2 linked regions of the Rattus norvegicus genome follow. The protein of the gene in region 1 purifies or fractionates together with the protein of each later gene. This does not show direct contact. Links are inferred from orthologs where the notes say so. Each region holds a gene or a part of one and is shown on either strand. Other genes may lie near its edges.

Region 1 (6,718 bases):
TAGCTGGTGAGACAAGGTATCATCAGTAGAACCAGATGCTTGTTATTGGGGACCTTTCTGTCCCAGTCCTCCAATGATGGGCTTCAGGCATACACAGCCATGGCTGCTGGTCTTTACGTGGGGATTTGATCCAGATTCTTGTGTGCAGAGCCAGTGTTGCTACTGTGTCATTTTCCCAGGACCCCTGCTCCATATTTAACTTGGAAAGACGGAAGGACAGCTAATTGTGAGTATCACATGCAGTTCTAGAATTTCAGAGGCTGAGATGAGGATTTCAAATTAAGGCCAACCTGGACTACATATTGTAAAACCCTTTCTCAAAAACAAAGCAAAGCAAAACAAACAAGAAATGTCCAAAACACAAACTTAAAATTAAAAAAGGAATAAGGTGAGCGGTAGTGGTGCACACCTTAAATTTCAGCGCTTGGGAGGCAGAGGCAGGGGGATCTTTGAGTTTGAGGCTAGCCTGGTCTACAGATTGAAATCTAGGACAGCCATTGCTACACAGAGTCTTAGTTACCCTGTGTCTTAGTTATGGTTTTACTGTTGTGATCAGACACCATGACCAAGGCAACTTTTTTTTTTTAAATTTATTTATATTATGTACATGAGTACACTGTAGCTGTCTTCAGACACACCAGAAGGGGACATCGGATCCCATTACAGATGGTTGTGAGCCACCATGTTGTTGCTGGGAATTGAACTCAGGACCTCTGGAAGAGCAGTCAGTGCTCTTAACCGCTGAGCCGTCTCTCCAGCCCCAGCAACTCTTATAAGAACAACATTTAATTGGGCCTGGCTTACAGGTTCAGAGGTTTAGTCCATTAGCATCAAGGCAGGAACATGGTGGCATCCCAGGCAGGCATGGTGCAGGGGGAGAGTTCTACATATTCATTTGAAGGCTGCTAGTGGAAGACTCACTTCCAGGCAGCTAGGATAAGGGTCTTAAAGCTCAAACTTCACAGTGACACACCTACCCCAACAGGGCCACACCTTCTAATAGTGCCATTCCCTGGGTGGAGCAGTACAAACCATCACACCCTGTCTCACACAAAAGCGGTGGTTGGGGGGCAGGGGAGATATAAAGGAGACAATTATTTTGTGCACATACATGTACCACAGCATGCTCTGAAGGTCAGAGAGTAACTTGTGGGAATTCTTAATTCCAAATTGTGAGCCATCATGTGGTTGCTGAGATTTGAACTCAGGATCTCTGGAAGGGCAGTAAGAGCACATCTCTCCAGCACCCTTCCCTGCTTTATAAGAGTTGAGATATAAAGGAATGTAGCCCCAGTCCCAGCTGTTTTGATTTATTTGATACAGAATCTTGCTGTATAGCTGGGGCTTTGCCTCCCAGGTGTTGAGACTACGGCATGCACCACCATGTCAGTCCTGCTTGTAGCTAAGTGTCTGTACATATAGATTATACATTAATTTTACACATTCTGAATTTTTGGTTGGTTTTATTTATAAAACATTTATTATTTTATGTGTATCAGGATTTTACTTCCATGTATGCCTGCGTACCACTTGTATGCCTGGTGCCATCCAAGGTCAGAAGTGGCATTGGATCCCACTGGAACTGGCAGTTGCAAGCTGCTGTGTGGATGCTGAGAATTGAACCTAGATCCTTAGGAAGCAGTCAGTGTTCTCAACCCCTGATCCATTTCTTCTATCCTCTACACATGGTTAATATATGTGTCTTGGTTTTGTTCTCCCTGTCTCTCCCAGATCAAACTTGGACACAGGTCAGAAGCTAAAGATGGTAAGTATCACATGTAATTTGATCACCCAGGAGATGTTCTGATATGAGGCCTGAGGAGAATGTCAGGGAGAGTTAATGAGAGTTCAGTAGAGTTATTGCAGTATCTTTAGAGCAGCAGTTCTCAACCTGCGGGTCATGACCTGTTTGGGGTCCCATAACATATTTACATTACAATTCACAACAGTAGCAAAACTACATTTATAAAATAACAACGAAAATAATTTCATGCTTGGGAGTCATTGCAACATGAGAAACTGCATTAAAGGGTCATGGCATCAGGAAGGCTGAGAACCACTGCTCTAGAGAGTAAAGCAAGTCTGGTTAGAAGCAACATGTAAGCATTGCGGGAACATTCAGATTGTAAGTGTAAGTGGGGCAGTGAGGTTAGTGCTTGGTCTGGATGCCCTCGCTACTGCTTCGGGTGCTGTACATCATTGCTTTTGCATTTCTGGTGTTCTGCTTGCTTTGAAAAATTCAAGGGTACATCTTCCTAGAATAACACAAAGTTCCTGAAAAATGGACACATTAGGAAAAGGTTTATTTCTTATTCTCAAGCCTCTTAGAATATCAGGTTCTGTTTGGCCATCAAGTAATAGTTATTATGAAATGTTATGGGCTGGAGAGATGGCTCAGTGGTTAAGAGCATTGTCTGCTCTTCCAGAGGTCCTGAGTTCAATTCCCAGCAACCACATGGTGGCTCACAACCATCTGTAATGAGATCTAATGCCCTCTTCTGGTGTGTCTGAAGTCAGCTACAGTGAACTCATATAAATATAATAACTAAATCTTAAGGGAAGAAAGAAAGAAAGCAAGAAAGAAATGTCACCATCGTTGGGGATTTAGCTCAGCGGTAGAGCGCTTGCCTAGCGAGCGCAAGGCCCTGGGTTCGGTCCCCAGCTTCAAAAAAAAAAAAGAAAAGAAAAAAAAAAAAAGAAATGTCACCATCAGAGAAAGTGCCAGCGCTGTTGTAGTTTGAATTTCGACCATTTGTATTGAAAAAAGCTATCGTTCGTGCTAATTTGCTATTAGCACGCATAGCCTTTCTCTGATGTTTGTAGGACAAGAGAAAAGGCCCTATTACCACATATTTGCTACATGTCTGTCTATGCTATTGTAATAATTTCAGAATGATATGTAGAGACATAAGTACTTTGCCATTTTTCATATACTGTGTTAAGCTACCTTAAAACAATGTGGAAAACACTTTCTCATAAAAATAGTTAAATTTGCCCTCTGTGTGTATGTAAAAGGTTTGAAATTTCATAATTGTTGTTCATTTTTTACATTCTTTTTTTATAGGTATAAATAGAACAGCCTTAAGGGAGATAAAGCTCTTGCAGGAACTAAGTCATCCAAATATAATTGGTGTGAGTATGATATAAGCTGTGTGCCCCTTGGGGTCCTCCATCATCTGATTATGACGGCTATTGGTCAGAGGCTCAGTGTAGTGGATTGATGTAGATAACGTTGCAGACATTTGAGGATTGATTAGGGTGAAGTGTATTTTCTCTCCCACTTTTGCTGTGAGTGGTATCTTTAGCATTATACATATAAATGAGGAAAGGAATCAAATGTTTCCACACAGGTTGATTTTGTCAGAAATGGTTTTGAGTCCAACTGTTAAAAGTAGCAAATTGCATTTAAGTTGAGAACCTTGTTGCCTGCATGAGGGCTGGAGTGGATTTCAGTGAAGTTACTGTAATTAGAGTACTAACAGTACTGCAAGTATGTATCCTGTACCTGGCAAGAAGTTTTTTACAAATTTGCTTAGGAAATTTTGTTTGTTTTTGTTTTGTTCACGACAGGGTTTCTCTGTGTCTTCCTGGCTGTTCTGGAACTCACTCTGTAGACCCAGCTGGCCTCGAACTCAGATTTGTCTGCTTCTGCCTCCCACGTGCTGGGACCAAAGAAGTGTGCCACTATGACAAGAATTTTCTTTTAAACATTGAAACTTTTTTTTCTTTTCTTAAATTTGAGTGTGGCATGCGTGCTTATGTATACAATTTGCCTATGCATGTGTATTTGGAGGCCTGAGGTTCATATAAAATATCATTTTCTATTACTTTTCTGTCATATTCACTGAGGCAGGGTCTCAGTCAAACCCAGCACTCAGTGACAGGGACAGTTTTTTAGCTAATGTGCCCTAGAGAACTCCTGTCTTCCGTCCAAGGCTGGAATGGCAGGCACAGCACTCTTCCTGCCTGGCGTGTGCATGGTTTCTGAATCTGAACTTTGGTGTAGTCCTTAACATTTGGGAGGCGGGGGCTTTTACTCCCGAGCCAACTGGAAACCAAGGTGAAATTTTCTTTTCCCTTTTTTTTTCCTCCAGATTTATTCATTTAATATATATAAGTACACTGTCACTGTCTTAGACACACCAGAAAAGGGCACCAGATCCATTACAGATGGTTGTGAGCCACCATGTGGTTGCTGGGAATTGAACTCAGGACCTCAGGAAGAGCAGTGAGTGCTCTTGACCATTGAGCCATCTCTCTAGCCCTCTTCCTTTTTCGAGACAGGGTTTTCCTATTTAGCCTTGGCTGTCCTTGAACTTGCTCTGTAGACCAGGCTGGCTTTGGACGCGGAGATCTTCCTGCCTCTGCCTCCCAAGTGCTGGATTACAGCCATGCATCACCACTGCCGGAGCTGTGAAATTTTCATTAATTTATTTATTCTAATTCTTGGACTTTAGGAAGAGGAGTTTTTAAGTTTTTAGTGAATTTGTTAAGTGGGTTAATGTTTTTGCGCCAGAGAGTACGAATTCTTGTTAACAAATGGGGCAAATGTTGAGTTTAATGAAGGAGTCTCAGTTCACAGGAAATTTCCCGCAGTTTAGGAATGTAAGCCAGGCAGTACACGTTTGTGTTATTTATAATCACAGGGGAGGTGGAGGCAGAAGTAGGATTGAGTTGAAGGCCAGCCTGGGCTACATAGCAAGTTCTAGGTCAGCATGATATATAGTGATGTCTTATCTCAAAAATCCAAGGACTGGGGCTGGAGAGATGGCTCAGTGGTTAAGAGCACCGACTGCTCTTCCAGAGGTCCTGAGTTCAATTCCCAACAACCACATGGGCTCACAACCATCTGTAATGGGATTTGATGCCCTCTTCTGGTGTGTCTGAAGACAGCTACAGTGTACTTATATATAATTTAAAAAAAAAAAAAAATCCAAGGACTGGCGGATGTATCTTAGTGGTGGAACACTTGCCTAGCATTCTGAAGGCCCAGGATTTACCGGTAGTGTGTGTGGGAAAAGCAAACATAATTTTTAAAAATTATTCCGACAATAAATTCCAATGTTATTAAATAGAGAGTAACAGTTTGACTTGATTTTTCTTCTTTGCAGCTCCTTGATGCATTTGGACATAAATCGAACATTAGCCTTGTCTTTGATTTTATGGAGACTGACCTAGAGGTAAGATAGAATTCCTGGAGATATCGCTCTACTTAGTGGAAGCAAAACCTGCATACTTATTCTGCTTTAAGAAAAGACTGATGAACAAAAAGTTGCTTAATTTTGCAGATCTCTAATTTCTTTCCTTTTTTTTTTTTAAAGATTTATTTATTATGTATAAGTACACTGTATATTGCTGTCTTCAGACACACCAGGAGAGGGCATCAGATACCATTACAGATGGTTGTGAGTCACCATGTGGTTGCTGGGATTTGAACTCAGGACCTCTGGAAGAGCAGACAGTGCTCTTAACCATTGAGCCATCTCTCCAGCCCAGATCTCTAATTTCTTTACATTTAATTGTATTTCTACTAAGAGGTATAGATTTTATTGACATTTTGCCAAGTTCCTTTTAACTTACTGACATTTTCAGGCACATTAGACCTGACAATTTTATATTCATCCCCATATTATCTATCAAAGGTTAATGTCTTTTAGAAAACCAAGTTTCTCTGTAAAAGTTGCAGGTTTTTTTTTTTTTTTTGTTTTTTTTGTTTTTTTTTTTTTTTTTTTTTTTTGGTTCTTTTTTTCGGAGCTGGGGACCGAACCCAGGGCCTTGCGCTTCCTAGGTAAGCGCTCTACCACTGAGCTAAATCCCCAGCCCCGCAGGTTTTTTATTAATTAAATCCCCCAAACATTAATAGTTCCAAGTTAAAACTAAAATTCTTATACATTGCTGGTTTGAATCCAAATTTTATATTCACTTTGGAAAGTAGTACAGTTTGTCAAAAAATTAAAGACACATTTACTATCAGATCAAAGGTAAAAAGGATTTTTATGACTGCATCAAGCAGGCAAAGGAATGCAGGACGTACAGCCTTAGTCTAATTACCTCTGTAAGGAAATGCTTAGTCCCTTTAATTCTACCACACTTGCTTGGGTTTCTTCCTTCCTTCCTTCCCTTCTGTCTTTTTTTTTTTAAAGATTTATTTATTATGTATATAGCATTCTACCTGCATGTACGCCTGCAGGCCAGAATAGGGCACCAGATCTCATCATAGATGGTTTTGAGCCACCATGTGGTTGCTGGGAACTAAACTCAGGACCTCTGGAAGAGCAGACAGTGCTCTTAACCTCTGAGCCATCTCTCCAGCCCTGTCTTTCTTTTTCTGATATAGGGTTTCTCTGTGTAGCCTTGGCTGCCCTGGAACTCACTCTGTAGGCCAGGCTAGCCTTGAACCCAGAAATCTGCCTGTCTCTGCCTCCCAGGTGCTTTGATTAAAGTTATGTACATCACCACCCAGCGTTACTTGGGTTTCTTGATTGGTAAGTAGGTTTTAGGTCATAGGTCATGTGTCTTGTTTTTTTTTTTTTTTTTTTTTTTTTTTAATATTTTGAAATTTTTATTAGAGGAAATATCTAATGGTTGTCGTACACAAATATCGGTTTCTCAAGGACAGAACGACAGATTTATCTGTGTTTGAAGTTCCAGGATAGATAGCAAGAGGCACTGTGCTCAAACATACTTGTAGTATGAAAGGGCCATCATGAGTACAAAG
Region 2 (7,354 bases), on another chromosome or scaffold:
GATGGGCCCTGGTCCTTAGGAAATGGATAATCTAGGAAAACACAAGAATGTAGAAAGGCATCTGAGAGGTCACCTAATGTCCCTGAAACAGCATGTCCGTGTTCTCCTAGCCACAGCCCTCTGACGGGACCCATGCCTGCTAGCTGTTACTTCCAGGTCACGCCTGTGACCCCCTCTAGGTACTCCTGCTCTCTCCATAGTCTTGCCTTGTTTTTCTTTCTATTTTAAGCACTTGCTGCTCGGCAGGCTCTGAGCCAAGAGTCTTAGCACCTAGTCTTTCGGCACCCCTGTGAGGCAGCACCCCTGTGAGGCAGCACCCCTGTGAGGCAGCACCCCTGTGAGGCAGCACCCCTGTGAGGCAGCACCCCTGTGAGGCAGCACCCCTGTGAGGCAGCACCCCTGTGAGGCAGACTGCTACTTCCTGGAGGGAGCCGAGTGAGGCTAGCAGAGACAAAGCATCTGTGAACAGTGGAGTGAGGCAGATTCACAGCTTGACGCCTCCCTTCCCGCCTTCCCAGGTACCCAGGTGACTCACCACCTCCCCTGACAGACCTGTGCTTCCAGGAAAGGAACACCTTTGCCCCCCAGGGCAAGCACAGCCCCTTTCCCCACCCGACCTCCTCTCCAAGCAGGGATACCTGCTGGGCAGTGATGCCACTGGCGATGGCCTGCTGCACGCTCTCCCGGGTCACTTGTGCCACCACCATGTTGGGGAATCGATAGAGCATCTCGGAGAAAAGAGCAATGAGGGCGATCTGCAGCTCCGACTCTGCCCCAGGGTTGAAGGGGGAGGAGTGAGGAGGCTGCCCAGCCTGCCTTCCTCCAGCCCTGCCCACCGGCAAGTGTAGGGATGAATGCCAGGGAGCTACATAGACCACCCAGTGAAGGTGGGCAGCCATTTTCTCCTGTGTCCTTCCCCTCCCCACTCCCTGCCCACCCACCCCCACCCGGACTCACCGGTATAGGCATACAGTCTGTAATTGGTTTCGACGACAATGAAGCCAGGCTGGTGCACAGTGCCCCCAGCCCCGGAGACACCAGATGAGAGGTTGATGGCCAGGCGTGTGGGGTAGTAACGCCGGGACTTCCTCTGGAAGGACATGGGGCAAGATGGGGTCCGACCCCCGCATCAGCCCTTAACCTCCCCCCCCTCAAATGACCCAAGCACTCAGTCCTAGCTAGGTCTTTTGGCTGCACCCCAAACACCCTACTGTCCTAGAGGCCTACAGCTGGGTGTACATACCTTCCTCTGGAAAACAAGCCCGAATTCACGCAGGTGTTGCAGGAAGTTCAACAAAGAATCACTCATCCCCTCCACGGAGTAGTCCTGGTGAAGAGATGGCCATCGGGGGCTATGACACACCCACGGTCACTACCCAGCCTGTCTCCTCCTCCTCTTGCCTTCTCGGGTGGTTCTGTGGTTATTACCATCTTCCGCCATAACCTCTCCTTACCTCCCTGTCCCCCAGCTCGCTCCCTACTTACCTTGCCAAGAGTAGAGAAACTGAGCTGGAAAAGGAAGGAGAGAATCTCCACTAGATCCATGCCCCGACTCTGAGAAGGAAACGGCAGAGAGACAGGACATGAGACAGAAAGAGGGAGTTAAGGAGCACCGTAGGCTGGTAGTTACTCAGGGACCTGAGCAGAGTGAGCAGCGTCCTAGGCCCTGGCTCTTACCTGGGCTGTCTGCAGATACTGCAGCATGAAGTACCAGAGCTGGGCAGGCGTGTCTAGGAGCAGGAACTGGAAGCCAGCGGAAGTGATACACGGTGGCTCTCCGGGTTCGGTGCTAGTGACAGAGAGAGCTGATGGTAGCAGCTTGCAAAGGGCTACACCTAGTCTGCTTACACCAACTTAGGCCTCTCCTCTCAGCCAACTCTCTCCACTCCCTCCTAGCCCCAGAAGATACCCACTTTATTTGAGACCCAAGGAGATGGCTGAGCAGGGAGCAGCCATGCTCTGCCCTCCTCACCTTTTCATAAGCCCGGCCTGGCTGAGGAGTTGAGCCAGGTCCTGGCTGACAGCTGCACTGGGGGAGCCCACCATGAAATGCAAGACCACCTAGAGATGAAAAGGGTCAGGAGACTGGGGTTTCTAGGGCTACTGGGAACAGGGCGCACAGCGGAGGCCCACAGAGGCCCACTCCTCACCTCCCAGCGCTCCTCGGCGTACTTATCAAGTGAGGGGACATCCCGGGCGTGCTTGTCTGGTCCCAGCTGACTTGTGTCATCAGACCAGGCCTTGCCCCTGTGGCCAGGATGAACAGGAATAAGGAGCCCTGTTTCCTGCTTCTCTAGGTCTTTTCCCTCGCCCCATGAACCATGAGAAGAGGACATTTTCTGCAGCCCACACCCACACCTGGTCCAATGTATTCTTGAAGGAGCTTCCCGAAGGGGTGGGAGTGAGGGGGAAGAGGTTCTGGGGAGGTCTCTCAAGAGCTTCTCCCCCCATCAGTGTAGTAAGCAGTTTGTTCCCCTGGCCTAGCTCAGGAAGAGAAGGGAATGACGTACCCACCCAGAAGAGCAATTCGGAGGTTCTGGCGGAAGACAGGGTTCAAGATGAGGCCCTGGAGTCCACCGGGGAGCAGCTGGGTATGCCAAATACGGAGGCCACTCAACAGCCCGGTACTTTCCTCCTGAGCCCTGGACGGAAGCAGAGTTGGGTGAGGTGTCATGAATAGAAAGGAGACCTCCAGGGAGCTCTCTCTCCCCCAATGGCAGTCCTTGGAACAGTGTTGCAGAGGGAAGCAACATGCACTGGGTGAGGCAACCTGCACTACAATGCTAAGGACAACATAGCTAGTTTTGATTGTTGTTGGTTTCTCTGTTTTGTTTTCTAAGTCAATCCCCCCTCCCCCATTTGTTTTGTTTCAGAAGGGGTCCTATGAAGCCTGGGACAGCCTCGACCTTACAATGTATCAAACTTGCAATGTAACCTTACAATCTACTGTTTCCTGTCTCTACCTCCCTACTTCGCTGGCTACTTTTTTCCTTTCTTCCTTTGGTCTTTTTGTTTGTTTTGTTCTAATTAGTATACAGCTAGAGAGATCACAACTCTGCACCATGGAAACCACTGCAAGTGTATTCTGGAGGGTTTTCCTTGTGTAGGGCAGAGTCTGTTGAAAGGCCCTAGATCTGATCCCCAGCTCCTGTGTGTGTGCACCCTGGCAGTGTTCCAAACAAAAGCAATTTGAGAAATGACGCTTGCACAGGACTCACTTGCTGAACTCCTTCTTCACCCACAGGGCCACGGCAGCCTGTGGTAGAGGCTGCTCCAGAAAGAGCATTCTCATCACCCAGTTCTTAGCCAAGGAAGGGAGCTCCCTGTAAGGTTCAGAGGCCAATGTTATCAGAAGCAACCTCACACCTGCATCTCTGCCCTTATCTGCCTGGCCCCTTGGCTAAAAGGTGTATGGTAGGACTGAACCACAATACAAGGTTTTTCTGGTTCATAACCTTGGGGTTCACAATGTGATCAAATACCCTGCAACATCTGCCTCTCAAATGTCTCACGCCATCTCCCACATCCTTACCAGTCCCGCTGCCCCCACAACCTCTGTTTTGGATTGACACACTGTCTAACACCCTGGTACTCACTGAGGTAAGCCTCTCCTCCATGATAACTAACTTCAGTCTGCAGGCCCCGTTACACTCTCCAAACGCCCCTCACCTGAAGACAGCCAGACAAGTGGCAGGGTGTCCATACAATCGGTCCAGCACCCCAGGGCTCAGGCCGCCTAAGAACTCCTGTAGATTCCTGCATTGTAGGTGTGCTCGGTTCAGTCCACCCCTCGCGGGGGTGATCTCCATCACCTGAGAGGGACAAGTGTCAGAACTCCCGCATGACCCATATCACTCCAGATCTATGACTCCAGATCTATCAGGTTCACTTTCTGTACTTTCCTGTCTGGTGCCACTCATTCCTCCCAAACCCTTCGTGTCCTGCTTCTTCATCATGCAGCTCAGGATGGCCTTGAACTTGCTATGTAGCCAAGGATGGATTTGAACCCCTGACCCATCTTTGTGACCTCGATGTCACAAGTGGCCACCAGGTTTTTCATCCCACATCTGCCTTTAAGTTCAGCCTTTTTTCAGTCTCCAGGGGGTGAGATTATTCTCATTTTGTGTATGGTCCTGAGGATCAAATCCAGATCCTCACTGGTGTGTACAAAAGTGACTGAATTACTTGTTGTGTCCTACTTGCAAAAGTGTTTTGCATTATCAATGATGTCTCTAGTTGACCTAAGCAGTGACAAAGATGCTTGTTTGAGCCTAAGCTTCTCTCTTGTCCACCCTCCTGGTCAAATCACTATAAATCTGTCAAGTACTTAGCGCTCTCATCTGGGGACACGGTTATAAACTGCCTCCACGCTTACCAACCTAAATATCTTTCTATCCCTTCCCCCCACCCCCCGAGCCAGCTTCACCCCTCTCACTGAGACACACGCTTCCGAGCTCCTCACTTCTCCCCAGCTTTCCTTTCACACCACCTCTCACTCAACTCTCTCCCTCCCTGACCCCTCTCACACCCCCTCACCACTCGGATCCCCTCCGCGCACCCCGGGTCACCAGCCGTCGCCTAATCAGAGCTAATGTCTCGCATTGACTCCTGGAAATAAAAGATGAAAATTCTAAAACGTGGGAGAACCGCGGAGAACTTCACAGACAGGACCCAGCCAAAAAGCAGCCCAAAGAGAAGGGAGCGCAGAAAAAGTGTCAAGAGTAAAGGGGATTAGAATAGGCAATGTACGCGCCTGTCGCGTGGCATACTGGGAATTGTAGTCCTCTCCTAGTCTACATTGGAGCACTGTGAGGAGGGTCTGACTACAGTTCCCGAAAGGCACCGCAAGAAGGCCGGCCGAGAGACAGTGACTTTTCATTAGGATTCCCTAGGAACACCCTAAGCCAGACCATTTGGTTCCGCGCCTCTCTCCCTTGTGAAGCTAAAGCTAATCTCAGTCAGGGCTAGACAGGAGGAGGCACCCAATCTGGAGGAGCTCCAGGGTCTCCTATCGGAGACGCGCTACAGCAGCTCAGTGGTGGTATGTTAGACTTAGAGACCTCAAAACTGGATTTCTTGACCTGTGCTGTTTTCCACAAAACTGAGATAATGCACAGTGCAGAGAGTTTTCATGAGTCGAGGATCAACACAATCGCCCTTATTTGGCTACTAAATGCTCAATCAATCAAAATGTCTGTGAGGTCAGAGTCCCCTAGAACTGGAATTACAGACAGCTGTGAGCTACCATATGGGTGCTAGAAATTGAACCCGGGCCCTTTGGAAGAACAGCCCAGTGTACTTAACTGCTGAGCCATCTCTCCACCATCCCCCAACCCGCACAATCAATCTTTTTTTTTTTTTTTTTTTTTTTTTTTGGTTCTTTTTTTCGGAGCTGGGGACCGAACCCAGGGCCTTACGCTTCCTAGGCAAGCGCTCTACCACTGAGCTAAATCCCCAACCCCTCGCACAATCAATCTTAATCTCTTCCTCCTCAGCCCTTCCAACTCCCCGGGAGTTAGAAGATTATATTACAATTTTTAAAAGAAAGCTCTCGTTTGCCCTGATCTGACTTATGAATTTATCATAGACAAGACAAGGGAAAGGAAGGAATGACAGCAACTAAGGTCATCTAGAGGTTCTCCATTTTTTTTTTTTTTCCGGAGCTGGGGACCGGAACCCAGGGCCTTGCGCTTGCTAGGCAAGCGCTCTACCACTGACCTAAATCCCCAATCCCTCTCCAATTCTTATGGGGGCAAATTCTGTTATTCTTACATCACTATCAAGCCCAACAAGAATAAGAAAACGGCACAAGGAAGTCCCAGTGCTGATGAGAAACACATTTACCAAGGGCAAAAATGGTGGGGCCATGTAAGGACTTGGTGATGCTTTATTAGGTATTTTAAAGAAAGTCGCAGGCTGCTGAGATGGCTCAGTTGGGAAAGGCCTTGCTGTGCTGTGACCTGAGCAGAGGGAAAGACAACTGACTTCCATTCCTGTGCCATGGAGCTGGGCATCCTGGCCTCTTCCTTCCGGCACTCACACACAGCAGTAATAATAAAAGTCACCTTTTTTTTTTTTTTTTGGTTCTTTTTTTCGGAGCTGGGGACCGAACCCAGGGCCTTGCGCTTCCTAGGTAAGCGCTCTACCACTGAGCTAAATCCCCAGCCCCTAAAAGTCACCTTTTAACAATGAAAGTACTCTGTCGTTGTCTTGGTTGTAAATGTTAGAATAAACCTGGAACCAGATCCTGACCAAGACCCTATAGTGGAACTCCAGCCCCTCCCTCACTGCTGTTACTTAACTCTCAGCCAAGGCAAGGCAGTTTCTAAAGATAAAATGGCCTTTTCTCCAGGAGGGAGAAATTGAAGACTTGCACATAGCCCCAGATGCAGCGCTTAACTTCCCATTCCGCAAACCTCCTAGATAAACCCAAGTACCCGCTTCCTTTTTGGGCAGATGCTCCTCTAACACTGTGTCTGAAATAAACTATTGAAATCAGTTGAAATCAGTCTGTTTTCTTTTCTACCTCCTGTCCCTTTAAGCTGTTCAGAAATCTAACAGTAAAAAGAATAAAATTCCTGTAACTCCAGTTCCAGGGGGATCAAATGTCCCCTTCTGCGCCTTTGTAGCACCTGGACACAGAACTTAAAAATAATAATCTTCTTTAGAAAGAAAAGAAGGGGCTGGAGAGATAGCTCAGTGGTTAAGAGCACTGACTGCTCTTCCAGAGGTCCTGAGTTCAATTCCAGCAACCACATGGTGGCTCACAACCATCTGTAATGGGACCTCCTGCCCTCTTCTGGTGTGTCTGAAGACAGCTATAGTGTACTCACATACATAAAATAAACAAATGTTGAAGGAGGAGGAGGAGGAAGAAGAGGAAGAGGAGGAGGAAGAAGAGGAGGAGGAAGAGGAGGAGGAAAGAAAAAAGATGAATCTGGCACATGGGCCTGTAACTCTGCATGCCCTTGGAAGAGGCAAAGGTAGAAGGATTGGGAGTGGTCGTGGAGGAGGCTGTAAACTCCCAATCCTCCTGCCTCAGTTTCCACAAACAATTTTTTTTCTTTTCTTTTTTTTTTCGGAGCTGGGGACCGAACCCAGGGCCTTGTGCTTGCTAGGCAAGCACTCTACCACTGAGCTAAATCCCCAACCCTCCACAAACAATTTTAACGTGATTGTTTTTTGACCTAGCAAAGCCACCACTAGAATTGAATCATCCAAGCTGGGGGTGTGTTGGCACACCCCTTTAATCTGAAGACTCATGAAGCAGAGGCAGGCGGATCTCTGTGAGTTCGTGGCCTACCTGGTCTACAAAAGCAAGTTCCAACAGCCACGGAAACCCTGTCTTGTATCA

Evidence for each region.
Region 2: the proteins of Cdk7 (region 1) and Gtf2h4 purify together in Homo sapiens (affinity purification with mass spectrometry; 7 studies listed by BioGRID and IntAct, with this or other methods). This does not show direct contact. The link is inferred for Rattus norvegicus from reciprocal best matches to the Homo sapiens genes CDK7 and GTF2H4.

The regions. Positions count from the first base shown.
Region 1 is NC_086020.1:33,588,265-33,594,982, reverse strand, and holds part of Cdk7 (cyclin-dependent kinase 7), read left to right. Parts: intron 1-1,731; coding exon 1,732-1,765; intron 1,766-3,064; coding exon 3,065-3,132; intron 3,133-5,111; coding exon 5,112-5,180; intron 5,181-6,718. UniProt on the Homo sapiens protein: Serine/threonine kinase involved in cell cycle control and in RNA polymerase II-mediated RNA transcription. Cyclin-dependent kinases (CDKs) are activated by the binding to a cyclin and mediate the progression through the cell cycle.
Region 2 is NC_086038.1:3,073,482-3,080,835, reverse strand, and holds the start of Gtf2h4 (general transcription factor IIH subunit 4), read right to left. Parts: upstream 4,727-7,354; 5' UTR 4,559-4,726; exon of another isoform or gene 3,813-4,558; 5' UTR 3,810-3,812; coding exon 3,670-3,809; exon of another isoform or gene 3,324-3,669; coding exon 3,219-3,323; exon of another isoform or gene 2,874-3,218; intron 2,761-2,873; exon of another isoform or gene 2,643-2,760; coding exon 2,511-2,642; exon of another isoform or gene 2,485-2,510; intron 2,369-2,484; exon of another isoform or gene 2,298-2,368; intron 2,248-2,297; coding exon 2,151-2,247; intron 2,062-2,150; coding exon 1,973-2,061; intron 1,790-1,972; coding exon 1,678-1,789; intron 1,555-1,677; coding exon 1,486-1,554; intron 1,328-1,485; coding exon 1,244-1,327; intron 1,091-1,243; coding exon 958-1,090; intron 888-957; exon of another isoform or gene 770-887; coding exon 639-769; intron 527-638; exon of another isoform or gene 380-526; intron 32-379; coding exon 1-31. UniProt on the Homo sapiens protein: Component of the general transcription and DNA repair factor IIH (TFIIH) core complex, which is involved in general and transcription-coupled nucleotide excision repair (NER) of damaged DNA and, when complexed to CAK, in RNA transcription by RNA polymerase II.